Rattus norvegicus: one gene and its partners. The protein of the gene in region 2 binds, or shares a complex with, the protein of the main gene of each other region. Links are inferred from orthologs where the notes say so. Each region holds a gene or a part of one and is shown on either strand. Other genes may lie near its edges. The genes, in order: Rbm22, Bcas2 and Ctnnbl1.

Region 1 (9,686 bases), on a different chromosome or scaffold from region 2:
TTGGACCCTACTGGGTCTTTATTCTTTAGAGGCAAGGACGAACAGTAGAGCTCCGCATAAGCCCCTTGAACCGCGGGCTCTGACGCGAGACCACACCCCTCCGCGAAGCCACGCCCCACGCCGTCCTAGGCGCGCAGATTATACGTAGCTCGGCGCTACCCCTGTGCCTGCCGGGATCGTGGCGGTCGGTCTCTCGAGTCGGAAGCCAGAGCTGCCCCGGGACTCCCGATATGGCGACTTCTCTGGGTTCCAACACTTACAACAGGCAGAACTGGGAGGACGCGGTGAGTGCGCGCCGGAGGAGGACGCGGGAACGGCGAGGCCGGGCAGGATGGGGAAGCCTTGCCCTAGGGTGCGGTGGGTTCGGCCAGAACCGAGCTGCGGCCTAGCTCGGTGGGGTAGCCGGAGGAGAGCGAGCCCTCGTGCGGCGGATCAGGGTCCCGGGACCAGTGTCCACCCGGCGACTCCACTCTTCCCAGATGCTTTCCTTTTTCTTCCTGCCGGAAGTGCAGACAGCGTCCCTTCCCGGGCCGCGGCCAGTGCGGGAGGGAGCTGGGGCTCCTGCCAGCCTTGCATCCTTCCCAGCCCCAGGACAGTGACTGAGGGAACAGGGTCTTCGGGACTTGATCTTCAACCAGCTTTTCCATTTTCTCCAGGACTTCCCCATTCTGTGTCAGACGTGTCTTGGAGAAAACCCTTATATACGAATGGTGAGTGCTTTCCTGTGCAGCGGAAGTAAACTGTTCCTTATTTTGTGGTCCTTGCAAGGTAAATGTAAAGAGTTTCTCTTAGCCGTTAGAAGAATTGATGCTCTTTCTAACCCAAAGGGAGGACAACTTGCAAAGTACTGCCCTACCTATTTCCTCTCCTAGATACTGAGCAGTAATCCTGTGACATAGGAGCTGTAACATAACAGCTAATACTTGTTGAGCATCTAACCTAAAAAGTAGGTCTGTTGACAGGCGAGAATATCTTTACGTAGCACTACTTCCTGGCTACTAGTCATGTATCTCTCAGCCACTGTGCCTTGGGGTAGTCTCTCTAGTTTAAGATACACTCCATCTCCTCTCCAAAAAGGGTAAAATAGCGACAGGCATCAATGATTATAGGGTTGTATGTTGTGATCGGCCTCACAGATGCTGACTCTATAGTTTATGGGAACAGAACGTTGGATACGTACCGTCCACCAACCAGCACAGGAGAGTCCAGAGCAGTTACCTTTTGCACAAACTATAGAAAGACTTGTCTCTAGTTATCATCCTACTTGATTTGGTGGCTGGAGACCTTGGGAATTTTGGTTTTCACACCAAAAGAATTTTTAAAATTCATCCCATTAGTTAACAAAGATTAGATGGCATATCCACATCCTAATATAAAAAAAAATCAGTTCTTAATTGACGCTAATTTTTTTTTTTAATAGACATCATTGGGTGTAACATATTCCTAAACCAGCCATGAGTGGTGATGGCTACCTTTAATCCCAACCTTTAGGCAAGTGGATCTCTGTGAGTTCAAGGCCATTCTGGTCTGCAAATCAAGTTCTAGGCCAGCCAGGGTTATGTAATGAGACCTTGTCTTTTTCTTAAAGCACATAGATACCATCCTTCCCCACTGTCTACCTCCTCCAACCCAGCGACCTAGCGAACTCTCATGAGGAGAAGCTGCCGACCACATTGCAAGAGTAGATGCTTTAAAAAGCCATTCCCGCTTCAGGTGCTGCCTGCCATCTCCGGTCTTGGTTTTCCTAGACCAGTCATCAGCTTGGTGGCCAGCTCCCACCAAACACATAGCCAACCAGCCAGGTGATTGGATTGATGTTTAAACAGTTTCCTCAAAGATTAGTCAGCAAGAAACATGTGCTAGAAATTGTGGAAGCTTTCATCTGGAAAACAGAGTAGCCCTTGAAATAGCCACCTTCCAGAACAGATTTCTTCATTCTTATTAATTTTTTTAGGTTAGCATACAAAGGGATGGATTTCATCTTGGCATGTTTCGTATGTACTTCGATTTCAATTCTTTCCCTCTTCCGCTGCCCTGCCCCTTTCTCTCTGCCCCTTCTGCCTCATTTTCTTAGATCCCCCAGTTTACCCTTCTTTCTAACAACACCTGTTTTATTATCCCCACATACAAACTCTTTCTTCCCACTCAGGGTCCCTTTTCTTGGTTCATGATCTACACACATACACAAGTACAATTTAAAATCTAGGTTCAACATATAAGAGAAAATATATGGATTTTTAGTAGGAATTTTAGTTCTTGAAAGTCAGAAGTAAATCTAAGAGTTAAAGCTCCAGGAAGACACTTGGTATTAGATCAAAAGAGAATATGATCTTGTCGGAATATCTCTCTCTTAATTTTATTTCTCTTGCTGTGGTAAAACACCCTGACAAAAACAGCGTAGAAGAGTGGAGTTTCATTTGGCTTACAGTTCACAGACACAGTCCATCATTGTGGGGCAGTCAGGACAACAGGAACTCGAAGTAGCTGGTTACATCACATCCAAGTCAAGACAGAATGAATGCATGTGTACTTGCTAGTGCTAAGCCCCTTCTTCACTTCCAGAGTCCAGGGTCCAGGGTGCAAGCTGTGGGAATGGTGCAGCCCATGATCAGGCTGGGTTTTCCCACGTCAACTAACGTGCACACAGGCTGATGTAGGTAGGCAGTCCATCATGGAGGCTCTTGATTCTAGGTTACGTCAAGTTGACAATTGGATCTGACCCTCACAGCATCCCTTACCGTAGCCCCAACGAAAAGATGAATTAGGTTTGATTTGATTGTCTTTCCAGGGATCTCCACACACATACCATGTTTTGTACTTGGAGGTGGGGAGAAACAGGTACCCGGGTTGGTTTCATTTGTCTGTCTGTCTGTGTGCTTGCTTTCTCTGCCGTAATTCCAGTTCTTTTCTATTTCAGACCAAAGAAAAATATGGAAAAGAATGCAAAGTAAGTATGTCTATTAAGAGTTAATTTTCATTTTCTTTATCCTTTTCTTCCCTGTATTCTACCAAAATGGCTTTGTGTTTACTAAGTTTTGAGGTCCTCCATTCAGAGTTCATGCTCACAGCTTTCATGATATAGTCAATAGCTATGGGAGAAAAGAAAATGGCCATTCCAGTGTTAATTCATAAACAGGTGTCTAAATATGCACCAAACACCACGAGTTTGTGTGCTGAGAGTTTTAGCTGAGGAGGAAGAGGAGGATTGTGGCTGCCACAATATTCTGGAAGAGATATTTCCTGCTTCACTTTCCTTGTTCCCCACGAAACAGACAAGTCAAAATTTAATGTTGTTTGCCTCTAGGTAGGAAGGCTTTGACCTTCTAAATGCATATTTCTATACTATTTTAGCTTTTTAACTTCTAGAAAAAAAAGGAATTAAAGGGGATTGGGTCGGCTGACATGTAAATAGATGATTGCTAAGGCCAGATCTCCATACTTACTCAGTCTGAATTGAGTCCAGGTCAGAACGATTAAGAATCTGTCCCTTGATGTGTGTTCAGATCTGTGCCAGGCCATTCACAGTATTTCGATGGTGCCCTGGGGTCCGCATGCGCTTCAAGAAGACTGAAGTGTGCCAGACCTGCAGTAAATTGAAGAATGTTTGTCAGACCTGCCTGTTAGACCTAGAGTACGGTATGTTTGCCATGTTCATTAGATCTGAGAGTGTGCGGGTGCCCAACAGGGCTTTTCCCAAGAAAAATGCCATAACTAGGCTGCTCTAGAGACCTCCAGAGCAATAGTAGGAACTTCAGGAGCAATTGGAAAGAAACTAGAACTGGCCTATTCACCCATCTCTGTGCCAGTTGGCATTGCTGCTATGACAGTGTTTGTTTGTTTGTTTGTTTGTTTGTTTGTTTGTTTTTCCTGGATCCTTTTGATCGAAAACTTTCCACAGTCCTGAACAAGTTCCTGGGCTAATTATGCTGTGGGCTGTTGGACCAAGTATTGCTTCTATTTCAAAACACTTGCTTCTGTTTTTACTTTTTTATGTAAATGAGGTTTTCCTTTCAGAAAAAGTTACCTACTGGCAAGGGGGGGGAGAGGAAACCTGCTGTGGCTGCATATCATTTTATATCATATATTTGTCAGGAGTTCAGACCTGGAGTACAGTGTTACTAAGCATAACTGTCTGTCCACAGGAATCCAGTCTAACAATAAACCACTCTGTTCTATGTATTTTAGGTATATTGTATTAAAGCTGGATACTTTATTAACTTAATTAGACCCTAAAGTATATTCTTTGAAACAGTTTTCTAAAACACTCACGTCACCGTATTCTATGTCAGCACAGGAATTTGGACAGTTTCTTAGGTAGTCTCCGCAGCAGGTGTTAGCCCGATGGTGCTAAACAGTCTGATTTAAAACATTGTAAACTGTCACAAGTAGGTTGATTATCTGATTTTAAAGATTTATTTTTGTTTTTCATTTGTGTATATGTGGGGGTGGGGTATAGGGCAGAGTCTAGAAGAGAATGTTGGCTCTTCTGGAGCTGGAGTTACAGTGAGCCACCCTGCATGGTTGTAGGGAGCCGCACGTTGGTCCTCCGTAGAGCAGCTCTCTTGATTACTGGAACATCTCTCAAAGACCCACCAACTAGGACCAAGAAGGGAAGAGTGATGTTGTACTTTATGTACATATTGAATATGAATATTAATTCCTCAATTTCTTTGTACCAGGCCTACCCATCCAGGTCCGTGATGCAGGGTTATCATTTAAAGATGACATGCCTAAATCAGATGTCAATAAAGAATATTACACCCAAAATATGGAAAGAGAAGTATGTTTTTTATTTCATTAAAATCTAATTATATCACTTCTCTCCAACCCCTCCTATGTCTTCTCCCTTCAACCCCTCCCATCTATGGCCCTCCCAAAAGATGGCCTCCTTTTCTTTATTAGTGTGCTAGGCATGCTTGCATATGTGTTTGTGTGCATGTGTACTGCGTGCATGTATGCATGCGCATGCATGTGTGTGCTTGATACCTGCTGGGTTCATTTAATGTGGCCTATCTGTATCTGATTTCAAAACCGACCACTTTATACTGGATAACCAGTTAGGGAACTCCTGTCCGGGAGACTAATTCTCAGCAGTCATTAGTTGCCTGTACTTTGTCAGCCTTTGTTTTGGCAGGGACATTGTTGAGATACCATGGGTGTAGCTTCCCTGTCACTTCTATGACTCAGTCTCACACCAGACGTCCTGGTCCTCTGGCTACTGTCTCGATGCCGTTGTGTATCTGGGGGAATGGATTGAGTATACATGCTGCTGGGAACTGAACCCAGGGCCTTGTGATGTAGTTTTGTGTTTGGTAAAATCCTAGTGATTGACGGCTTATAAAGTTGCCTTCTCTGTGCAGATTTCTAACTCTGATGGAACACGGCCAGTCGGAATGCTGGGAAAAGCAACATCCACTAGTGACATGCTACTCAAATTGGCCCGGACCACACCTTACTACAAAAGGAATCGGCCCCACATTTGTTCCTTCTGGGTGAAAGGAGAGTGTAAGAGGGGAGAGGAGTGTCCCTACAGGTAAGGCCGAGCCTCACCTTCAGACTCCTGAGAAGTGGGAGACGCTCGCTTAAACTCAGGCCTCAATGCTAAAGCTCTGTGGTCTGTTCGCAGGAGAGTAGCTCCTGCTTTAAAACATAAGAGCCTGGCTAAATTACCTTTTACTTACAGCTAAGCCTTGGCTACTGAAATTGCTATGTTATATGCTATACGTGCTGACTGTTTCTAAGTAAGTGCTAAGTTTCTATGCTAATTTGGTGTCCATTTAAATGGTGTGAATAGCAAAATGTAGCTGAAGTCAAAGCAAGGCCAGTGGCCTGAAGGCTCCTGCAAGCATCGGTTAGGGGTTTAGCTAATGATTGGTTAACTGTAACACCACCCTGAATACACACCCTTTTTCTGAGGTGAAGTCGGATTCAGCCAGAGCCTAGTAGAGCAGTTTAAGTGGATTGCTTAGAGCATCAGGAAGGCTTGATGTGGTAGAATAACTCCTCTGGTATTTGCTCTTGTGTAGTAACTATTCCTGGTGAGACACTTTTCTAATTTGAAAGGCATTTGAGGGATCCTTACTATGTAGCTACTGCAGAGTGATATTTTTCCCTTTCTTTCACCATGGTGCATTTCCCACTTGCGAATCTTAGACATGAGAAGCCTACCGATCCAGATGACCCTCTTGCTGATCAGAATATAAAAGACCGGTACTATGGAATTAACGACCCTGTGGCTGATAAGCTTCTCAAGCGGGCTTCAACCATGCCTCGTCTTGACCCACCGGAGGATAAGACGATCACCACACTGTATGTGGGTGGTCTGGGAGACACCATCACTGAAACAGACCTCAGGTTTGTGAGCGTCATTTCACAACTCTTTGCTTTTAACTGCCTTTGAGTAAATAGTTTGCAATAATATCACCAGACATACTTCTATTTCTTTATCCAGTCTGTCATTGATATGAATGCCGATTCAAAATTTTATAAATCTCTTTTTTATGATGCCAGAGGAGTTGTATTTTTCAAGAGTGCTTTTTATCTTTGCATCAAAAAATAATATAGGGGTCTAAAGACCCATTTGAATTTTTTTAATTTTTTAGTTACTATAGACTTGTGCAAGTGGCTTCAAGAACCCAAAGAGCTCTAGATCTTGCAGGTGGTTGTGAACCACTCAGCGTGGAAATCAAACTTAGATCCTTGTGAGAGCACTGTGTGCTCTTTACTTCTGAGCCAGCTCTCTCCGTATTGGGCAGGTGGCGGGGGCGGTGGAGGGGTGGGGGGGTTTCTAGCCAGGGTTTTTCTCTGTAGCCCTAGCTGGGCTGTTCTGGGATTCACTCTTGTTAACCATGCTGGCCTCGAACTCACAGAGGTTCTCCTGCCTCTGTCTGCCAAGTGCTGGGAGTAAGGGTGTTGTGCCATCACCGCCAAAGGATGACATACATACACACCTGATTGTTGTGGAGGGCAGAGCGCCCTGCGATTCCAAAACTCTTTGGTTTAAATTGTTGCTTTTTGTATTTCTGGCTTACACTGTGTTTGACTAGAAGAGAGATCTCTTCCAGGGAGATGAACTAACTCTTGCCTTGGTAGCCTTTCTCTTTGAGCTAGCAATCTCCATGGGCCAGCTAGCTTTTATAAAAAGGCTAGAGAAAGCACTTTGGGCCTAGTTGACCTATGTGATCTCTTTGAGCTATTGCTCCCATTTTGTTTTGCTTTGTGACATGTAGTTCCCTGCAGCTCAGGCTAGTGTGGCGAACTCTGAGGACCTAAACTCCTGCCTCTCCTGCCCTCGCCCTCTCCTGCCTCTTCTGCCCCTACCCCCTGGTACTAGAGTTATAGGCAGGAGCCACCAGGTCTCATTTGTAGGATTTGATTTTGATGTATTTATTTACTTATTGTTTATCTTTGTTTATTTTGAGACAGGGTCTTGTCATGTAGACTGTCCTGAAGCTCAAGACCTTCCCCTTTCTCTGGTACTAGAATCTGTGCCTGGGCCACCATACCTGGCTTTCTTCTTGTCTTCCATTTTCTTTCTTCTTTTAGTTTTAAGCTTTTTAAATTTCAGTCAATATTTTGTATTTATTTTCCAGTGCTAGGATTTGAAACCAGGACACATATATTAGGCCAGCGTGCTCTGCCATTGAGCCATTCAGTTTTCAACTCTTAAACATTGTGTTCTTAGGTGGGCGTGATGGTATTTGCTTACAGCCCAGCTAAGGCATGATCACTTGAGTCCATGAAATCAAAACTAACCTGTATAACATAGCAAGGCTTAATCTCAAATGAAAATGGTCTTGGCACTTGGACCGTAACAGCTGTAGTTTGCCAGTGTCTTATACTAGGGTAAGAAACTATGGCTCTGAAGTGACCAATTAAAGGCCCTCCCCTCCTCCCCAAGAAAAACTCCAAGATACATAAGAACTTTTGCCTAATTTTTCCCTTATCTCCAACAAGTAGCACCTACAGTAGGGCAGGTGTGAGAGAGCCTTAAAGACAAGCACCTGTGTGTCCGAGGGGCTCCCCTGTGTGTCCGAGGGGCTAGTGACTCGGAACACTTCCGTAGCCCATTTCTGTTTTCTCAGCACGTCTGGGTTACTAACCTGTTTTCCCGGGCCTGTGCTCTTCAGGAATCATTTCTACCAGTTCGGAGAGATTCGCACAGTCACTGTTGTGCAGAGGCAGCAGTGTGCCTTCATCCAGTTCGCCACCAGGCAAGCTGCCGAGGTGGCTGCCGAGAAGTCTTTCAACAAGCTGATTGTGAACGGCCGACGACTCAATGTCAAATGGGGACGGTATGAACAAGACTCTTCTAAACTGTTCATCTGGGGATGGAAAGCTTTGTTTACATAGGTTTGACAGGGCCTTTACAAATCTTTAGGCCCTTCTCTGGTATTTTTTAAATGACTTCATTTATGTGTGTGGGTGTTTTGCTTACTTGCATGTCTGTACCATTTGTGTGCCTGGTGCCAGGAAAGGGTTTGGATCCCCTGGGACTGGAGTTGCAGATGGTTATGAGCCACCATGTGGGTGCTGAGAATTGAACCAATGTCCTCTGAAAGGGCACCCAGTGCTCTTAACCTCTGAGCTATCCTGCAGCCCCTTCTTTTGTATTTCTTAGTATTTGGAAGCTTCTTCCTTTAGAAATATATTCAAGGTCTTGCTCTAATAACCTGCTCCTTTGGAGTTCTTCATTTTTTAGCAGCCGTTGTAAGGTAAACATGATGTAAGATTGCCAAAGGTAGATATTGGGGGTCACAGTTGAATTAGACCTAAGTGCTCTCCTCAGACTGAGTACTGGGGAGTGGAGGGAAAGGCACTAAAGCAGAAGGAGATCCGTTTTAAGTTTGAAATTGTCCACAAAAGAGAAAAGGCTGTAAATTTTTTTCTTTCTTCTTTTTTTTTTTTAAGGGGGGGTGTGTGTGGTTTGCTTTGGTGTTTTGTTTTGTTTTGTCTTGTTTTTAGAGACAGTTTCTCAGTGTACTCCTGTAACTCAGTCTTAGACCAGCCTGGTCTTGAACTCACAGAGATCCCCCACCTCTACCTCCTGAGTACTGGGAGTAAAGGCTTGCACCACCTAAGTTTCAAAGGGGACTGACTCTGTGTCCATCTTGAAAACAGAGAGGAGCAGGCTGACAACAGTTCCCTTCCTGGGGGGCCTTCTGTCTGCTGAGCACTGCTGCACACATGAGTGCTGCCCTCCCTGGCAGTGACAGTGGTGTTGGTCTGGTTGTTTTCTTCTTTTGTTTTGTTTGAGATCAGGTCTTTCTGTGTTGTCCTGGAACTCAAAGAGATCTGCCTGCCTCTGTCTCCTGATGCTGGGATTAAAGGCATGCACACCCAAGGGAAAGAGGGATGGAACTCTATTTTACTGGGGATGGGACGCAGTGCTGATAATCCTGTGTATATATGTCTCCAGATCCCAAGCAGCCAGAGGAAAAGAAAAAGAGAAGGATGGAACTACAGACTCTGGGATCAAGTTAGAACCTGTACCAGGACTGCCTGGAGGTCAGTTCATGTCAGAGACTCATTCAGCTGGGGTTTCTGTTAGACGATAGCAGGCGTGCCTCTGTGGCCTGTGTGGCAGGCCAAGATGTCTGTGCTAGAGACATCTGCACGTGGTACTGATTGTCCTCCCTTGTCTCCAGCTCTGCCTCCACCTCCTGCCGCAGAAGAGGAAGCGTCTG
Region 2 (10,237 bases):
TCTCTCTCTCTCTCTCTCTCTCTCTCTCTCACACACACACACACACACACACACACACACACACACACACACACACACACACACGCAGCCCTCTTGTCATGTGATTCCAAGTACCATGTTGGGATCTGTCCCTAACTGTCAGCAGACCCAGTTCTTCAACCTTGAATTCCCATGACTGTAAGTCAAAATGAAGGTCTTTTCTTTCCACCTTACTGAGCCTGTGGTATTATTAGCAAGAGGACATGAACTGAGACAGTGGGAGTCCTTCAAGGTTCTTTCTCCTATGTGCGTATGTGTGCAGTGTCATCCTAATGTCCTGCCTGACTCACAAGGTGTTCTCCTCAGGTTTGCAGACTTGTGAGTTGTAGAGAACGTTTTCAGGTTTCAAGCTTAGTTTTTCCTCCACTTTGGTACAGCAAACCCAGTGCCAGATGCTAGACACAGTAGATCAAAAATATCACAGTAAATTCTATTAACATCACTTAGTATATTAATAGCTATTCGTTATATGGTTTACTTACTAAAACCAAAACCACTTTAGAAACAAAAACACAAGTTGAAGACAGTGTCTTGCACTTGTACTAACTACACCCAGTACTGTACTACAGCATATGTGAAGCTCGGCACTACCTGGCCACTCGGTCCTGTCAATTGGAATCTGCCAGTCCCTACTGAGCAGAGGGCTCGTCAAGGGTGGCTCCTCCATGTTCTAACTATGAAGGTGCGGCAGCATCTCTGGTTGGAGGCCCAGTCAATTTTGGGTGTCCATGTTGACTGCTCAATGACCCCTGCTGACTGAAGTATGTTCAGGGACAAACCCTTCAGACCACAACCATGTTCCCCTGGATGGTTTTTCAGTTTCTCTCCATGTAGCTGAGCTGTGAGCTCAAACTCTTCCTGACACAGTTTCTGAAGCACCAGGGCTACAGCTGTGTTCCACACCCCTGGTCCATCTTCCTAACCCACTTCTCATAAACCAGCAAAGCTTCAACACATGCCACAACATACAAAGCTTCCTTCAACACATGCCACAACATACAAAGCTTCCTTCAACACATGCCACAACATACAAAACTTCTCTTCAATACATGTCACAACATACAAAGCTTCCCTTCAACACATGCCACAACATACAAAGCTTCCCTTCAACACATGCCACAACATACAAAGCTTCTCATCAATACATGTCATAAAGGTACAAGCTTTGATTTTTGCTGTTCCTTGATATCTACCTCTTAAATATTATGAATTTCTATTTTTCTCAAAGGTAACTATTTTACACACACCAACAACATACATGATTAAAAACTGCTTAACAGAAGTGGAATTTTACTACATAATAGTTTTTCTTTCCCTATCAGAGGTTCATCTACATTTTGTTCAAATAGAAATAAACAACTTACCTTAACTTCTGAAGCTCTTTCTGTGCATGTTCAATCATGTGAACAAGGTTTCTAAGGAAGGAAGGGAGCACAGACACCTTGAAATCTGGTAACACCGAGGAAAAGTGAATTGCCTATTTATACCAAGTCAGGTTTTTCTGCTAAAAACCTAAAAATCTGGGGATCTGTGTCTAGAATATCAGATAATTCATTAACATTTGTTTAATCCAGTACTTTACTGGGTTTGATTTTAGATAATGATGTAACTTATCATTTTTCTGTTTTTCAAGACAGGGTTTCTCTCTGCAGCCCTGGCTGTCCTGGAACTCACTCTGTAGACCAGGCTGCCTCTACCTCCAAAGTGCTGGGATTAAATGTGTTCACCACCACTGCCTGACCTGATGTTACTTCTTAAACTCTTAGGACCTCTGTTTTGGAGACAGTGTCCCACTATGCTCTCCAGGGTGGCCTTGAACTCCTGGACTCAGGGAATCCCTTTGCCTCTCAGACTGTGTTAAAGTAGCTGCAGAACTAAAGACAGTGCCATCAGACTAGTCGTGACTCCTTTTGCTATGAAGACAGAAGTCACACACCACATCGACCTTCTCTTATGACAGATGATCACCATTCAGGTCTCCCTGAGCAACCCTGGCCTGACTGTGCTGGCTCCAGACCCAGTGTGTATAGTGCTGGCAGGGACACCAGGACTTCTCTAACGATCTTTCCTCCCACAGCTGTACCTTTCTAGTTCCCACCCTCTGCTCTTTCCGAGGCCTGCCAATCCTGCACTGGAGAGTGTCATTCTCACGCTTGATTCTGAGGTTTCTGTTTGAACTTCTCGAAACTTTACTTTTGATAACATTTGCTTCCTGTGGAGAAGTAGCTACTGGGTTTGGAGGCAAATATGCTCTGAATGTTCAGAGTGCTGTCTGGCTGAAAGGCAGACAAGTGACGTGCACACAGTTGGTGAGCTAAAGACAAACAGACTAGAAAGCTGTTCTCCAGACTGTACGGTATATTCCTTTGTTCTCCATACTGCCGGTCTCTTGTCTGAGGGAACTATAAGGTGTCACTGTATAGTGTAGGCCAGCTTATACAGTGTCACTGTGCCTAGTCTCCTTGCTGTCTTAAGAATCCAACTGTACAGATGTAAGAATGCATCTGGGTGTAGGTGTTAGGTATCAAATCCAAACCGCATGCTTGATGCACTGCAGCACTGGGCTATCATCTGACTCCACCATTCTTTTTAAATAAAATCTGTTTGAGAAAGGGTCTCAATCTAGTTTGGCACTGATTTCTGGTCTTCCCCAGGGCTTTGATTAAATGTTCTACTAGGTCCAGTTCTACCAACCTTTTAAAATGACTTTCTTCTTTTGTGACTACCACGTAGACCAGGCTGGCTAGGAACTCACACAGACCCACCCACCTGGCTCTGCCTTCCAAGTGCCGAGCTTACAGGTATATGGGCATGTAGCACCATACCTGGTTAACGGTCATCATTCGAGGATTTGTCCTCCATCTCTCTAGCTTGTCAGCAGAAAGGACCTCTCACTGAGCCTGGAGCTAAACTGGTGGCATCAGTAAGCCCAACTCAGCAGAACCCTTTTACAATTTCGATTCTCATTATTTGCATATTCCACACTACTCGGCTTGCCTAAACCACTGTTTACTAATTTGTGAGAATTCATAAACACGTCCACAGCAGTGAACAATCTGGGTTTCTGGTCCACAACTAAGGCTACACAAGGCCCACTCCACTCTTTAATTTTAGTTCTCCAGTGAGCACCAGAGTATAGAATTTAAGTGTTGGGTATTAATCTATTAATAAGACAGGGACTAAATTTGTGGCTTGGGGAAGCTGTGTGCCTAGGCTAGCCCCAAATGTAGCCATACTCCTGTGCGTCCAGCTTACTGTTTAAAGTTGTAAGAGGTATGTGTGAGAGGTAGGTGTTTGTGTGTGAGTGTGTGTGTGTATAGATACTTCCCCTAGGAGAAATGGTACGGTATCCCTGATTCTGTGTTCAAGACTTAAGTACCATGATACATGAACATGGGAATCCATTATTTAAGCATCCACACGTTAAGGACTGCATTTTATCAAGTGGTGCTCTGCAGATCACCCTCAGAGCTCATTTTCTTATACCGCACAGTGAGTGTGGGAGTTATGTGGACGTAAAAGAGCTCAGCATTAGTGAACTCTAAGGCAGGACTCGAGATGCAGCCTTTCACTCTGTTCTGATACAGCCCCAAGTCAAGTCTAGCACAACTGCTATTATTATTTTGGACATGCAGTTTTGCTAGGTGAGCCTAGGGTGACTAAACTCAAAATATAAGCCAGGCAGGCCCTCCTCCACACCCCAGCTTCCCAGCCAAGTGCTGGAATGATAAGCATGCACATACCACCCTGGGTGGCACAGGATAAGAGAGAGCCCAGCGCCTCTTACTCGTTGTACACTTTCCAGGCGTTACACCCATGCTGTGACATCAGTTCCAGATTCTCAATCCGCACTGCCTGATGCTCCAGCTGGGCCATAGAATTGTTTACACAGTCTTGCCACGCAGTGATGTCATTTTTTTGACCCGAGGAAGGGGCTGGCAGTTCATATCTGAAATTACATAACAAATAAACCAATGTATCTCGCAAAGACTCATCACCCCTTTCCACAGACATATGCCCATTACATAAAGGCAGAGACACAAAGTATCAACCCCTGACCATGACCCTGCATGTGCAAAAGACCAAGGACACAATGTAGGCCAGGCAGTACAAAGAAACCTGTTAGTTTGGAAACTGATCTTGACAGATAAAAACACAGTTGTATACTGTAACAAAGAACTACTTCCATAAATGTAAACTAGGTAAATAAGCTGTGAGTCACAGAGACTCTCATGTCCCTTGTCCTTGTTCGTCTACCATGACCCTTCTTACATAAAGTCTGCTTATCAGCTTTTTAAAAAGTTGCTTAAAAATACTGTATTATATCTGCTAGCATTTTTTTTTTTTAATGTAGTAATGATGATTACAGTTCTCTCTATTCCCACGTCCTATGCCCAGCAGCAAACACTCTTCCCAACCTCTGGCAGCGCTGCGGTTACCACAGCTTAGCCTCATCTTACCGCTTCATGCTGAGTAATTCAATTGGTTGTCGAGCAGCCAGTCTTTCAAACTCATTTCTCATTATGTCTGTCTGATGCACAAACAACACAAAGAATTAGTGACAGGATCATGTTGAAAATAATGAATGTAATTTACTTATATTTTATACTTTATACTATACATTATAGTGAATCTTTTCTCCTCTCTCAATTACTTCTCAAATAAAAAGGATGCGAATATTTGAACCCAGGACCACTATACTACACCCTCACACACCCCTCAGTTTGCTCTGAGGTTAACGCTATCTAGAATCTGAAGAAATAGGCATATTCTTTAATTCCATATTCTACCTAGGCACGATAGGAGGTGAACCTAGAAGAGCCCAGCTGTCAAGGATTAACCCTACATCAGCAGTCTTCAATGCTCTGCAATCAGTTGTGGAACTCTGAAAACAACTTTAACCCCAGCCCCATGTCACGTTATAATTCACAACATAAAGTAACAGTCTTGAATCATTTCAGGAAGTCTCTGGTGCTGCATGACGGTCTGACACAGCGTAACCTGTGAAGTCACATGATGTAACATGGACCAGCACTTGGATCTGGGGCTTGATTTTTTTCCAATTAATTTTTGGGTTAGTACTTTTTACTCTTGCCAAATTTCTTGCAGCTCCCACATCAGTTATGAAACCCCCACTGAGGAGTCACAACCCAGTTTAAAAACCTGGGATCTGGATCCGAAAGAATCACACATCCCTGTACATGGAGCAGTCTTTCTCCTTCTCCTTCAGCCTGAAAGTATTTTAACATCTTCGTAGTGTAGCAGGGTGGGGGTGGGGAGAAACTCTGAACAGGTGTGGACTGAAATTTAACAGAATTCATTAATCTAGAAACGACACCGCACATTTACTTGATTAGGGCCTAAATGGTGTTTTGGTTGCACTTTGAGGATAACCATTAAGACGTACTTGTTCAGGCATTCATACACCTGCTAACTATCGGAGTCTTGGTACAAAAATCTCCCTCCAGTGGTGGCAAAGAGTACAGGCACCTAAGATTATAAATATTAAAATCTAATACCTGTTTTTGAATAGACATTGGAGAATAAAGGGTTCTTTTGTGAAATATACTATGACTCTTATATTAAAACACACACACACACACACACACAGAGACACGGCGTGGGGAGCACTCTTCAACAAGTCTGCAGAAACCAATGAAGTCATTCGCGGGTTATTGTAGTACAGACCCTATGAAAAGCTCATCTGGTGGTTTGAACCGACTGATACCTATATGGCACTCAATATGAGCAGCAAGCACCAGTTAGCCTGGAAGGTGACGTTCATTTTACACAGCTAAAGCTCTCAATCCGAAATCAAAGTCCGCAAGCCTCCTGGTCAGAGTGCTGGGCCCAGGACACCACACTTACTTCAAAGGCAGAATAATCTGGGGCTGTCAGGTAGCTCAGGTAGTTCTTGGTAGGTCGGTATCTGCGCGTTTCCTCCTCCACCAGGGCCGCAGCCTAAGAACGAGAACAGGCCGGGGTCGCGGCGAGAAAAGGGCAGCAGCGTGCCTCCGGCGGCCCCGCCGCACATGCCCTGCACTCACCGCTTCCCGCACGCCAGGCGCTTCATAGCCTTGGTCAAAGTAGGGTAGCGCATCCACTACCACCTCCCCCGCTACCAAGCCCGTGCCCGCCATCGCGCGGCACTGTACTCCAAGAGCGCCTTCTGAGTCTGCGCAGGCTCGATTAGATTCTCTGCGCCTGCGCCTGGAATGACGTCACGCTGCCTCTGGCTTTTCGCTTCCGGCGCCTGTGCAGTTGGTAATTGTAGCCGCTAGACTCTAATATTAGTTATCACATGCTGACATGCCAGGGTGACTTTCTTTGTATGGGTACCGCGTGGGTTATTTTCGAAGGAGTGGGTAGGGTAGACTTGGGAAGAGGCGGTTGCTGGACTTGGCTGGAGGGGAGAAATAGATTTCCACATCCTTTAACCTTCCATTGTTTAAACTCGCCATGGTGCTGGGCTTCTAAGCACTCCCTTGTTTTATCCTCATTTCGCAGCTGGCCCCTTAAGAATGTTCTTTTATAGAAACTAGAAATCTGCGCCTATTTTCCAATCAAATTTTTAGATCTAACAACCTGAGTGAGGGATGCGGCTCAATGGCAAAACCAATTCAGTCCCTGGCACTGCAAACACCTCAACCCTCCCAGGACTGTATTATATATACAAAATGCCTCATTTTAAAAGCTCTGCCACGAAGCAGGGGCAACTCTGGAGCAAGTTAGAAATCTAGGAAAAGGGAAACTTGAGGTTTACCCTAAGACTTGAAGCAACAGGGGATATGGAACCTGAAATGGCCACCTCCTGGAACCAGGCAAGACTTCTAATGGAGAGATGGGAACACCAACCCACCCACAAAACCAAAATTTGTCCTGCTTATAAAAAGTATGAGGATAAAGATTGACCAGAAACTGAAGGAATGATCAAGCAATGACTGGCCCAACTTGAGACTCATCCCATAAGAGAGAGCCCACCCCGACACTATTCATGATGTTCAACAGCTGTTAGAAACATGCGAAGATCCACAGCCAAACATTAGGCAGAGCTCCAGGAATCTTGTGGAAGAGGGGGAGGAAGGACACCACAGGAAAACACAGAATCAACTAACCTGGTCCCGTAGGGGTTCACAGGGACTGATCCACCAACCAAAGATACAACGGACAGACCTAGGCCCCTACAAATATGTAACAGATGTACAGCTTGGTCTTCATGTGGGACTCTAATGGCTGGAGCAGGGGTTGTCTAACTCTGTTGCCTGCCATTGGACTCCTTTCCCCCAACTGGGCTGCTTTATCTAGTCTCAATAGGAGATGTGCCTAGTCCCACTGCAACCTGATATACCAAGGCTGGTTGATATTCACGGGAGGCCTCCCCTTCTCTGAGGAGAAAGGGTGGGGTGAGATGGGGATAGGAAAGGTGAGAGGGAGGGAGTAGGACAGGATGGAGGGGAGGCTGTGATCAGGATTAAAAAGATTAATGATAAAATCCTGTCATTTTTGTCTTTAGAGCCTATATAAAACCCAATCCCTTTGCCTTTAGGATTTGTGGTAATAGAATATTACTCCCCGTTGGCTCTCAACCCCTCAGGCTGTAGTTAGTACACACGCTCTGTAAAATATCTTCCAGACTAAGAGGTAAATGCAAAAACGATTGTCAGACTACATATGCTATCCAACGTGCATTCAACCACGGTTTATCTGTTAAGAGCTTTGGAAAAGTTGGTCACGGTTATAAGCCCAGTTAGTCTAAGATGAATTTGAGAATTTATGACTGTGTAAATGTGCTGTCTATAGGGTTATGTAAAGTGCAGTATCTTCACGTGTTGGGATTTGGTGAGAACTGCTTCTTGGGGTTAGAGATTTGAATACTCAGTCCCCAGCTGGTGGCGCTGTTGTAGAGTTTAGGCTGGAGAAGTCTCTGGAGATGGGCTACTTTTGCTCTCTGCTTTCAAGTTGCCATTTGAAGATGTGAACTCTCCCTGTTCCTTCCTGCCTTCATATTGGCGCCATGCTTCTCCACCAGAATTAACTCTTAGCCCTGGACTGTAGGCAGGATGAACGCTCTTCGTTAACGTTGCTTGGCCATGTTCTAGCACTGCCACAGCAAAGCAGCCACTACACATCTTAGCTGCTTTGTCTTAAATTCTCCAAGAGATCTGTGGAATTTTTTTTAAAATGTCTTTATTCATTAAAAGATCTGTAAACATTTGATAGAAATGTTGAACAATTCTCTTTACAAACGTATGTAGAATTCACAACATTTACAAAAACAAAGTACAACAAACTCAAGGAAAGGAAGCAGCTTTAGACTGTAAGAAGGTAAGACTCTCCCTGCAGAGGGACAGTCATGATTGACCACAGTAGACCCTCCTACCCCACCTTATACACAATCAGTTAGGAACTGTTCCATTGGGATTGGAGTAAGAAGAGCCCAAATGAGAGAGGTGTCTGGGAGGGGCTCCACTTCGGTAAGCTGCATTAACATTTTAAAAGACAGGCTCAGTTCTCTTCCCTGGACCACATCTAGGAACTATATTGCACAGCACCAGTCTTAAATGGATTCGTTCAAATACAGCTGCATAAGTGACAATAACAATACTGTACAACAGTCGGTTGTGTACAACACAACGTACAACACTTTCCAAGTCTGAATAAATATTTTCCATGCCAGGTAAAGCCATGAGCAAAGGCTACAGAAAACAACTGACATTTATCACAACGTCTATCACCTCTCAATGAAAACTGCACCCTCACTGACAAACTCCCTTTCCCAGGCCCTAGGACTTTAGATTTCCAGCATCTGGTTGATGAAGAGGTATAGGCTTAGGAAACACTAAGTGAAACTCACACCGATGTAAAAATAACCAGCGTGGCAGAACGCACAGAAGGCGCTGGGTTCTATCACCAGCAGCAGAGGAACAAACCTTGCCTAGACACCCACAGCTTAGAGTCTCATCAGAGCCAAGAGGAAGCTCTGGTGTGCTCCACTAAGAACTTTAAACATCACTATAAACAGTTCATTTACACCTGTAGGACTAACCAGCTTTGTATGTGTTCGTAAGTCAAGTGTTTGGCTTAGTTCTGTCTTGTATATAACTGGCCAAATTACTTAGCCTCTCTGAACTCCAGTTTCTTGTAAAACATCATGAAGCTGATCTAAAGCTTGAATAAGATGACATGTAGATTATCACAGTGCAGCAAATTGTAGACACCAAAACTCAATAAACAGAAGCTATGCCCTTAAAAGGACATTTTCATATTGGCTCCATTCCATAAAGCATAATGCTGACATATAAGAAGCAAGTTATCCCAGCAGGACACGTATTCTGGGGGGGCCCTGCATGGTGTCTGCTTTTTAAAGTTCTAACATGAGTGAAATCCTCCAAGATAGGACATGGGACAAAAGGGGGTTATCAATGGCAACAGTACTGGAATTTCAAAGCACAAACAGTCCATGGATTTAAAGTAACCCGACGCTTCAGTAATAAGAATCGTGTGACCATGGTGTCCTCCATGTGTCTAGTACCTGAAACTCTCAGTATTCTTATCTCTCGTTGATCTCATCTTTGCATTGTTTTTAGAAAATGCAACACCAAGTATTTCTCAGTCTTTCTCTTGTAAAAGACAACTACTTTCATAGACTAAGCACAAAGTGGAGCTTCTTGTGCTCATCAATAACCAAAGATAAAACACCACAGTAAAAGTAACTTGCCCAGGCATGGTGGCATATGCCTTTAATCCCAGCGCTTGGGAGGCAGAGGCAAGCACACTTTGTAAGATCTTTGAGATTTGTGAGATCAGGATTTGAGGCCAGCCTGATCTCCACAGTGGCAAGTTCCATCACAGTCAGGGCTATATATACAAACCCCGTCTCAAAGACAAACAGTCCCCGAATCAGAAGAGCAGCGCGCACTGGTTCCACACTGTTCCCAGTTGGTCTGCAGCAACAGGAGAGCCCTCTGACAGTTTTTCTCCTCTTACAATCACAAGGACATCACAGGGCTCCTCAAAGCATCCAGATCCTTGGGAACATACTGTCCTTGGCACTTTCAGTTATGCGTAGAATGAAGACAAAGATTTCACTTCTTGTGAAGAAATCTCATTTTGCTTCCTGGAAAGAGAAAAAGTCTTCGAACTTACTTCATCTTATCCCTTGTACACATGAGCCATTCAGAACCACTCGGGGTTAGCT
Region 3 (10,348 bases), on a different chromosome or scaffold from region 2:
ATGCGCTATGGCGTCCCTCTCCAGCACGTGTACATGTGAGCTTTATCCTGAGAGCCAAGCGTTGTTCTGGCACTGAGTAGGTTCTTACTAGTTACTTATTACAGAATTGGGTCATGTTATAGAGGAGAGAACTGAAGTCTGGAGATGGGACTTCACTTAGCCCAGCCAGCTGTGGCAGATGGAACATTGGCTAGCCCAAGAGCCAGGGCTGTGTTGGTAGGTGGATTTTTGGAAGAATACGTGACAGCTGTGATTTGTACTATGAATCGATCTCTTCATGACACAATACACCACCGTGAATGTTTCCATGCTGATGCGAATCTGCTAGAAAATTCTCTGAAAATTAACTCTGGGTGACTCAGGGTTTTATTGCTATGAAGACACACCATGGCCATGACCAGAGAGATTCCGTAACCCCGTTCTTCTATCCTTGACTGTAAAGTCAGAACCACGTCGCCAAAGCTGTCAAGTTCTGGTGCTTGCTGGGGCTCAAACCTGGCCCCCTTGTAAAAATGACATCTTCATCAGCTTTCTGTTTTTGATGGCTTCTTTCTTCATTGTCTAAGTTTGGCTGTCCTGAATCTTGATGTGTAGACCAGGCTGGCCTCACACTCAGAGATCCACCTGCTCCTGCCTCTGGAGTGCTGGAATTAAAGGGGTGCACCCTCACACCTAGCTCTCACCTTTTCTTTATCTCATTTTCATAAATTGGAAGCTTGGCTGGGTGGGATCTTGACATGAAGCCATCACTCCCTTTATTCCATTTTTTAAAAAATATGTTTGTCTCCTTGAACAGAGGGTTTAGTTCCACTATACTTGGTGTCCTGTTTCTCTTTGAACAGTCTCTAGGCCACATGCTAACATTCTTCTCCTCTGAAACCTCTTGAGGCAGGCCCCCATAGTTCAAATCACTCCAGGTACCACTGTCTTCCATGTTTCTACCAAGATGGCCCACTAAGCCCCACTGAAAGCATTTAACTACTTTTCTAATCCAAAATCCCAAAGTCTGTGTTCCTCTAAACAAAAGCATGGCCAGTCCTTGGCACCAATTTTTGTTTTATTTAGTGTTTTATTGTTGTGAAGAGATACTATGACCATGGCAAGTCTTATAAAGGAAAACATTCCATTGGGACTGGCTTAATCGTTTTCAGAGGTTTAGTCCATTATGGTTATGGTGGGAAGCATGGCATTGTGCAGGCGGACATGGTGCTGGACAAAGAGCTGAGAGTTCTACATCTGGACCTACATACAGGCAGCAGGAAGTGACAGTGACACACTGGCTAGGCTTGAGCTTCTGAAACCCCAAAACATACTCCCTAGAGATATACCTCTTCAACAAAGCCACACCTCCTCCAACAAGGACACACATGTCCTAGCAGTGCCATTCTCTATGGGCCTACGGGGGGCCATTTTTATTCAAACCACCAGACTGGGTTTTTGCAAATTTGTCTATTTAAGCTGACCGAGGCAAGGCACACACTAGAACACAAGTCTGTTTTTGGCTCAAAAGACTCACTTTTACCCTTATTCTGTCTTGTCTTTCTGGAAGTTACAATCTACACTTAATCAAAAGGGAGGGGTAATACATGCAAATGAACTGTTATAAAGCAGTTTGCACAGGCCACCTGTTGAAAACAGAAACCCAGTCAGAAAACATCCCTGTTTTGACCCTCTCAGCTACTTCCCTAAGTAGACGGTATAAAATGCACTCTCGTTACCAAAGCTCACAAAGCCCATTGTGAAACCTCTACCATGCCCTGTTCTGGGCTTTGAAGATTTGAGGGAGAAGTTGACAAACTCAGCCCCAACTTTTAGAGTTTGCAGTCGAACTAATGAGGCTGTCAATACATAAAATGTCAACTATCAGGTACAAAGTGACGGATTGAGTCTGTGAACAGCAGAGGAAGTGCTCGCAGAGGGAATAATGAGGAGAGGATGCGGCAGTTTGAGGAATAACACGTTTCTCATGTGTAGTTGGAGATAGTTGAATGGGCTTTCTGGGATGGAGTCTGTTGTGATTCCTTACTATTTCAATAACGGGCAAATTCCTTCCCCAGAAACCTCTTTTTATAAAAGTGTGTGTGTGTGTGTGTGTGTGTGTGTGTGTGTGTGTGTGTGTGTGTGTGTGCTTCTGGGTGTAAATGGAGGCCAGAAGAGACCATCGGATCCTCTAGAACTGGAGTTAAAGGCAATTGTGAGCTGTTCAACATGGCTGCTGGGAAGTAAACTGGGTTGTCTAGAGAGCAGTAAGTGCTCCTAAGTGCTGAGCCATTTCTCCAGACTCCCAGACCTTTTTTATACTGTTTGGGTAGACGTGAAGATTATCCAATTGCTACTGGGTCTTGTGCCAATGACAGAAGCTCAGAAAAAACAAACAAACAAACAAACAAACAACAAACACGATATCAACGTTTTCTCAGTCACCAGTAATCTATGCCCAGGTGCCAATTTGTAAGCCAGCACTGTCCAGGGGAAGCATAATGGGAACCCCAAAATGAAATCCATGTAAGCAATTTCAGTATATCTATTAAGTGCACTTAACAAATAAGAAACTCAAATTCATTTCATATTTCCCTTTACCCATAAGTTAAAAAAAAGACACCAGTTCAAGTATGAAAAATCCAGTGTACATTTGATTCACACTTAACCTCTCAATTAGGACTAGCCACACTTCAAGTGCCCAGTAGTCACATGTGATAGGACTAGCCACAGGCGACTATCATATGGGACGCAGGATTTTAAACCTTAGCTCCTCTCTCCCTCCCTCTCTCCCCTCTCCTCCTCTCTCTCTAACCCATGCGAGACAGGGTTTCTCTGTGTAGCCCTGGCTGTCCTGGAACTCGTTTCTGTAGACCAGGTTGGTCTCGAATTCAAGAGATCTGCTCGCTTCTGCTTCTCCAGTACTGGGATCAAAGGCGTACAACACCGCCAACCAGTCAACTCAATTTCTTTTTTTTTTTTTTTTTTTTTTGGTTCTTTTTTTCGGAGCTGGGGACCGAACCCAGGGCCTTGCGCTTCCTAGGCAAGCGCTCTACCACTGAGTTAAATCCCCAGCCCCACAACTCAATTTCTTTATCTGTGAAATGAGGGTGAAATAAGAACAAAAGTGGCAGTCTCTGGAAGACGTGGAAGGTTACCCACGAAACATCAGGCATTCTGCTCTACACTTGGATGACCGCCTAGTTTTTAGGTTTGTTCCCTTAGCATCCTCCCACTTTCCTGCCCCTTCAGGATCCAGGCGGAAGCAGAATAGTCAAACTGCGGCGCGCTTTACGGCAGCGCTTTCTTTTACGGCAGTGTGGCGAGAGCGCCGGCCACGCGCTCTTTTACTCTATTGGTTCTGAGGCCTGGCGCTTTACGGCAGTGTGGCAGGAAAAGCCTCTAAGCGGCCCGTGGTTCGGGAGTAAGTGGAGGCAACCAGGGTACACTGTGCTGATTGGGTCCGGAACCATGGACGTGGGCGAACTTTTAAGCTACCAGGTAGGTGCAGTTGGCAGGGCCGGAGAGCTCCTCATCCTCGTTGGCGTCGCAAGGAAGAGCCCGGTCATCTTGCCTCCTCTCGGTCCCTGGCCCTCACTTCTCATGTCACCCGGGCTTGCATCCTGTCATTGCACTTCACTCCCCTAAGCCCTCGTGGACCCTTTCGACCCCTTCTTTCTCCAGGCCTGAGCCATTTGATCTCTGTTCCCCACCCGGCAGCCCGATTCCCTTCAGCTCCTCTTCGGCCTCATTTCTTCCAATTCATAGCGCTTAAGACAGTTGTGGAGAACACTGCTTTTTATTTCGGTGTCAGTTTCTTTACCAAGAGTCGGTGTAGCTTTGGATAAGTCTTTCTCCCGTCACGGAGTCTCGTTTTTTCTTTTAAAATCTATAAAATGGATATATGTGAAAGGTCATTTGAAAGTGCAGAAACCTGTGGCCATGGTCCCCGCAATTGTTAAGATACTTGGAAAATGAATCATGGAATGGGTCCCTCAGAGACCTCTTGACCTCCTTGCTCAGGGTACTTGTGGGGAACGGGTGACCTAGAGAGAAGAAAGGACTTGCCCGAGGTCACTCAACAGCTACAGACTAGATAAAGTTCAAGTGTCCAGGCTCCCGGCCCAAAGTTTTCGCCCTCTTTTGACTGCCTAACTGCCTAATGAGGTTCCTTGGGTCCAGCCTTGTTTTCACTAGCTGCAATAGCGTCGGAGCTCATACAGGGTAATTAGTCTGAATTAGGAAGTACTGTTTTGTAAATCACACCTCATTCTAAAGACATAGTATGAAAAAAGGTAGTATTTTTATATTGATTACAGAGCCTTGATCATGTTGGTTGAATGAGTATATACGAGACCATCATATGATGGAGCATACTTTGGGTAATGGAAATAAAATACAATTTTAGCCAACCTTGCCCACTTGTGTAGTGTTCAAACTGTGATTGTTTTAAAAGACCAGAGTAGGTGATGAGAAGCTGTGAGCCTGAACTGCTGGCCATGGATGCCTTAATCTCAGTGCCTGAAAGTTGGGAGGCAGAGGCCCCAGGTCACTAAATTCCAGGCCAGCCAGCGATACTTAGTGAAACAACCCCCTGATCCTCCAAAAGCCTGGATTTGGAGCCCCAGGTTGCCTTCAATCTCTTCTTTTTCTTACTGACTGGTTGTAACCTTGAACAGAATACCTCATGCTACCTACCTTGTGTCTGTTGTGAAGAAATTTTTTCTTCTGTTAAGAAATTTACAGTGGGCCAGGTGGTTGTGGCACATACCTTTCATCCCAGCATGCAGAGGCAGAGGCCAGAGCCAGAGGCAGATGGATCTCTCTGAGTCCAAATCCAGCCTGGTCTACAGAGTGAGTTCTAAGACAGCCAGGGCTACCCAGAGAAACTCTGTCCTAAAAACAAAACAAAACAAAACAAAACAAAACAAAATGAAAGAACAACAACAAAAAACTAGCTATGCATAGCAGTTGGTGGCTCACACCTTTAGTCCCAGGATTTGGGAGGAGGCAGAGGCAGGCAGATCTTTCAAGGCCAGCCTGGTCTACAGAGTGAGTTTCAGGACAGCCAGGGTCTCACAGAGAAATCCTGTCCAGAAAACCAAAACCAAAAGAAAAAGAGAAAAAAAAGTGTTAGGCTAGTGTTTGTTGCAGAGTATAATAACAGTCCATAAATACTAATATTGGTAATTATTTCCTTTAGCCAATATATAAACCCTGATCCCATAGATGGAGACTCCAAGCCTGATGAGAAAGAATACATAAGTGTCAGAGAACAGATGCGAGGCCACAATATTTTCCCCTTTAAGACAGTGTAATTGATAATGGAACAAGAAAGGTGGTGGGAAGGTCACTGAAGAATACTCGTTTGGGAGTTCTGGGCTAAATCCATAGTCTAAATCTGTAGAGTCCAGTCCATTGATTCAGAGCTGGAACAGTGCAGCCAGGAGAGGCCCATTTGGCTACAGATACTTGTTGGACATTTACTGTGCACAAGCTACTTGGTCCTTTGAGCATATGATGTGGAAATAAACAAGACAAGGCTCTTGCTTTTGAAAAGGCAAATACAGTGGGGGAGCCGCCAGAGAATATTGAGTAAGCAAATAAGAAACTTAGATGGCCAGAAGTGTTATGAGGGAGTGCGGCAGAATCCGCTGTGGAAATGTGAGCATGTTTGGCGTCTGCTGTGCGCATGACTGTTGGATATCGAAAGAGTGGCCCACCTGCATCAAGTGCTTATGTGTAAAGTACACACTGCGTCTCACAGCTTTATTGGGGAATGATGAACTATCTTAATTTTTAAGGTAGATTACGTTTATACATTGGATTAAGGATAATAGATTTTTAAACTTAAATTTCGTGCCTACTTCTGAGTTTAAACTTCTATGTAAGGTTTGTGACTCTCATTGTATTTCTGTTGGCCAACGCCGCTGTGTATAACTCCTTTCAGGGCCTCTGTAGACTGAGTGGTCAGGGAAGGAGTCTGACGGGCCAGCGTTAGTGCCCTGAAGGTTAAGGAGCCAGCATATGACAGGGCAGAATGATGAAGTCAGGGGCAGAGACTGTGAGCACAGGCTCCAGGACCATTAGACAAGCAGAGAGAAGAGCCATGTAACCCAGCCTTGGTGAGTGAGCAGGACACCAGAAGGTGACACGGCATCTGGAAATATTGGCAGATTACAGTTGAGGTAGGACCTCCTTAAGGGCCAGAAGAAAGCCTTTGCATTTTGAGAGGTGATACAGATGTCTTCATTTAACCCACCTGTTTGTAGCTTAAACAAGAACTCAGATCTGATAGACAGACCTAGCTAACGTTTCAAGCCGGGGCAGTGATTGACAGGCCAAGGCGGTGACTTGACGTGTCTCCAGAATCTTGGTCGTGTATTTGCAACTCTGTTCCTTTCAGCACAGTCTACCTCCATTCCTATCTGAAAAGGTCAGAGTCTAATCTAGAATCTGTAGTCTAAATCTATAGAGTCTAGTCTATAATCAGTCAGACATGGCCGTCCTCCTGTGGGAAATCTTGAGGATGAGACGAGCCTATGGAAGTGGAAGTGCTTTGAAGACAGCGATACTCTTACACAAAATAATTATTTAATTATTTACCTGCCTCTTCTCTAAATCCACATAACAGCTCTTTGAGGAACTAAATTTCTTTTCCCTCTCCTCTCCTCTCCTCTCCTCTCCTCTCCTCTCCTCTCCTCTCCTCTCCTCTCCTCTCCTCTCCCCTCCCTCCCTCCCTCCTCTTTCTTTCTTTCTTTCTTTCTTTCTTTCTTTCCTTCCTTCCTTCCTTCCTTCCTTCCTTTCTTTCTTTCTTTCTTTCTTTCTTTCTTTCTTTCTTTCTTTCTTTCTTTCTTTCTTTCTTTCTTTCTTTCTTTCGTCAGGGTCTTATGTAGAACAGGCTGTCCTCAAACTCACTTTGTAGCCAAGGATGACCCTGAATTTCTGACTCCTTTCCCACCTCTCAAATGCTGGGATTGCAGGTGTCTGTCACCCCACCTGGCTTTGGACAGAACCAGAGCTTAATGAATGCTAGGTGAGCACTCTACCACTGAGCAGGAGGAACCCTCTGAACCCCACAGAGTCTCACTGTGTCACCCTGGGCGGCCTGCAGACCAGGCTAGCCTCAGCCTCACAAAGATTTGCCTGCTTCTTGCCTTTGTCTTTTGGAGTGCTGTGATTACAGGCATGCCAGTATGAGGAGCTGTTTTAATCCCCATTTTACAACGGGAGAAACTGAGATCCTAGCCGGAGAGCACTCAGGCAGTCCTATTCTTAGGTGGAGGTCCTGACTGCTGTGTTGGTCTGTTTGATGTGTGCCAGGGGCAGAACTAATGTGCCTGTAGATACATTGTCAGGTATGGTGGTCCGCACATCCTCCAAAGGGAGATGGTGTGACTACTTCATGCAAAGAGAAACCGAAGCTAGGGAGGCAAGTTTCCTGTCTGTGAAGCTCAGGCAGCCAGGAAGCAGTAGAGCCAGCCCTGAACACCCAGGCATGTTTGCTGCTGTTAAAACAACCTCGAACTGATGTGTAAAAGAAAGCGTAAATTGTAAGCCCTGCTGCGCAGTGTCAACATTGGCAAAACCGACTGTCATGAGCACTGATGCTCGCTCCCTGGGAACAGAAGGGAGCAAAGTTGTCTGGCTAGAGCATTCCCAGCTCAGAAGTTTGCCTCAGTGTTCTGAGAGTTGGGGTTTTGCACATTTGGGGTGATTCTAAAGCTGGTGGTCAGGGACTGTACATGAAGGCACACTGGTCTAGAAGCATCTGCATTCCTTTTAAGCTTGTCCCAGTTGAGGCAGCCCTGGCCTCTCCTGGGCACCGGTCTGCAGGTTTTTCAGCTTAAGCTGTACTTCTTCCCTGCCGCTCAAAACAGAGAGCAAATCACTTAATCTCTCTGGGCCTCAGTTTCCTCATATGCCTAATGAGGGGATTAGGTATGACTCTCTGAGGTCCCTAGTAGCTTTAAAATTTAAATACTAATTATTTAGGCCAAGGGCTCCAGAGAGTCCAGTACCTGAAAAAGCATGATGTAGTAGAAGGGCTTGGGGCTGGAGACCTGGGAGATTTGGGTTCTAATCCAGCCGTTATCAGCACTTATCTGGGTGACTCAGGACAAGTCACTCTCCCTCCCTGCACATCCTTTCTCTTGTCAGTTGTAAAGCGAGGAGTTCAGGCAGTACAACTTGTGGTTCTTTCCATTCCAAAACTCAGGGTCTAAGGTGAGCAAGAAGAAGTCTCATACAGCAATAGGAAGTGTTTATTAAAACTTTAACATTTTTTAGCTTGCTTATTAAATTTCATTTTTGGGGCAAGTCAGTGGGAAGATTGCAATTTTCTGCTGAGATTGGTTCTTTCAGTAATAGGCAGGAGAGCACCTCAGTGTATGCCTTCTACCCTTGACAGATGTTAGCAATTCATTTGAGAAGACAGGAGAATTACAATGTGGACAGGAGGTGGTGGGAAAAGTCTTAAAGAGGAAACCAGTTATGTTCCCAATATGGAAATGCACTTTTTTGATGCCTTCAGGCTTAGACATCTCATCAAGAAGTGTGCCCAGCAGTGGCTCGGGAGAGAAGTTTCTGCTGCCTAGGCGCAGATCTGAACTCCAGGGCACTCTCATTAATACTCATTCCACAGACGTCTGGGGAAAAGTTCTTACCTCTGAAGTTTTGCAATAAAGAATTCGCATTTAGTTCAGATTGGCTTGGTGGGAACGACTGGCTTTGCACCTCCAGAGGAATTCTCTTTGAGACAGATTGAGGTCAGGGACCCTTGGCTTGGATGATATTGCAGACACCCACTCCCCCTGTCGATGTGGGTAACGCCAGCATTTTCCTGGATGGAGGGGCTTCTTCCAGTCTGTTTTGCTCCTCTCCCATTTCTTACTTTTGAAATAAAATTTAATGATAATAAACTGTCGAATAGTAAGGAAGAATTTGAAGCAAGGAAAAACCACTACTCCAATCCAATGAATATATTTTATATGCCTGTAAGTATTGCATATGGACTGTTTTGTGTTGATTTCTTTAAGTAACATGTATTTTTTTCTACATAGCTTTCATGTTGCTCTCTAACGTATGCGAGCTTTCATTCGAGTCATAGATGATTTTCCCCTCAGTTATTACTCCACAGTTGATATTTAGGTCGTGTTCAGGTTTTTGATGGGGGTGTAATGTTGTTTGGAGCTTCTTTGCTCGTGTGGCATTTCCCCCTCTCCTGGTCACTCACAATGACTTTGTACGCTTTCCTGAGGTAAGGTTGGCATGTGTTAAAATGATTGAGACCCGATTCCAGGCTTGAAGAATTCATGGTATGAGAAGTGACGTGGGCATTTAAACACCTCACTGTGTGTAGTAAGTGTCCCATGAGCACAGTGCACGGAACGATTCGATAAGCTAAGGGAGGTATTGGATCAGAGGACGTGGATTCAGTTGGTCATTGAGAAGAGAGAGATTAGAATCCCAGCTATGATGGAGTTCTGTGGGCGGCAGAGGAAGCTGGGAAGAGTCCGTTGCTAACTATTAGGAGCAAACTTGTGCGATGGGTGTTCAGGGAATTGGGGGAGTAGCCAGAGACAGTGGGGTCCCTTTAGCTGCAGAGACATGTGGGGCCACTCCCTCCTTCAGCACTGCACTCCAGTTTACTGCAGTCCCGACCGTACTGCTTGTCGTGATTTACATCCCTGCCATTTATCTAGTAGGCACATAAAGTGCTACTTCAAAGTTATTTGAGCGAGGATATTACTCTTGTACATGTTTATCATTTGTACTTCTGCTCCCTGCTCCCCGCTTTTAAGACAGGAATTGGAGTTTGTAATTGAGCCTTTTCAGTTTCTGTTTTTGTTGTTCTTGGGCGTATAAGACACATTGTTGAAAGCCTGAACTTTTGTGTTCAGAATGCATCCTTCATTTTTGTGGCAGCCTCAAGTTACGTTCTAACCCTGAGAATATTATTCTGATCATACTGAAAGAGGTTACTTTTTGCATGACAGTTTCATGCTTTCCCAGGTTAATTTTGTTAGCAAGCTGGCTATAAATAACAGGTAAAGAGCAATTCCCACTGGTGTTCCCATTTATTTCCTCTCTCGATGTGTTTTCTCTTGTAAGTTCATTTCTTCCCACCATGGCTTCCTCATCTGTCTTTCTTCCAGCTCATTCTTCTCACGGAATATACAGTATGCTCCTGTGCCTGCTGTAAGTTCAGGGAGGGAGCCAGCATCTAGCAGCATGTCTTACCTGTGCTCAGTGTCAAGCAATGGTTGCTTGGGAATGGCTTGTGTATTAGCTTTCTTATTGTTGAGATCAAATCCTCGATAAAAAGCAACTAAAGGGTGGAAAGGTTTGCTATAGTCACAGTGTTAGG

The links.
Region 1: Bcas2 (region 2) and Rbm22 share a complex: the UniProt entries of both Homo sapiens proteins name them as parts of the postcatalytic spliceosome P complex. The link is inferred for Rattus norvegicus from reciprocal best matches to the Homo sapiens genes BCAS2 and RBM22.
Region 3: Bcas2 (region 2) and Ctnnbl1 share a complex: the UniProt entries of both Homo sapiens proteins name them as parts of the PRP19-CDC5L splicing complex. The link is inferred for Rattus norvegicus from reciprocal best matches to the Homo sapiens genes BCAS2 and CTNNBL1.

Annotation. Positions count from the first base shown.
Region 1 is NC_086036.1:56,283,630-56,293,315, forward strand, and holds the start of Rbm22 (pre-mRNA-splicing factor RBM22), read left to right. Parts: upstream 1-177; 5' UTR 178-230; coding exon 231-284; intron 285-656; coding exon 657-710; intron 711-2,917; coding exon 2,918-2,947; intron 2,948-3,503; coding exon 3,504-3,636; intron 3,637-4,679; coding exon 4,680-4,780; intron 4,781-5,360; coding exon 5,361-5,533; intron 5,534-6,153; coding exon 6,154-6,354; intron 6,355-8,129; coding exon 8,130-8,294; intron 8,295-9,418; coding exon 9,419-9,507; intron 9,508-9,647; coding exon 9,648-9,686. UniProt on the Homo sapiens protein: Required for pre-mRNA splicing as component of the activated spliceosome. Involved in the first step of pre-mRNA splicing.
Region 2 is NC_086020.1:193,376,959-193,387,195, reverse strand, and holds the start of Bcas2 (pre-mRNA-splicing factor SPF27), read right to left. Parts: upstream 6,197-10,237; 5' UTR 6,180-6,196; coding exon 6,087-6,179; intron 6,001-6,086; coding exon 5,908-6,000; intron 4,571-5,907; coding exon 4,500-4,570; intron 3,989-4,499; coding exon 3,827-3,988; intron 1,455-3,826; coding exon 1,404-1,454; intron 1-1,403. Other genes in the region: Dennd2c (DENN domain-containing protein 2C), read right to left, coding at 10,125-10,156. UniProt on the Homo sapiens protein: Required for pre-mRNA splicing as component of the activated spliceosome. Component of the PRP19-CDC5L complex that forms an integral part of the spliceosome and is required for activating pre-mRNA splicing.
Region 3 is NC_086021.1:166,804,501-166,814,848, forward strand, and holds the start of Ctnnbl1 (beta-catenin-like protein 1), read left to right. Parts: upstream 1-3,398; 5' UTR 3,399-3,450; coding exon 3,451-3,480; intron 3,481-10,348. UniProt on the Homo sapiens protein: Component of the PRP19-CDC5L complex that forms an integral part of the spliceosome and is required for activating pre-mRNA splicing.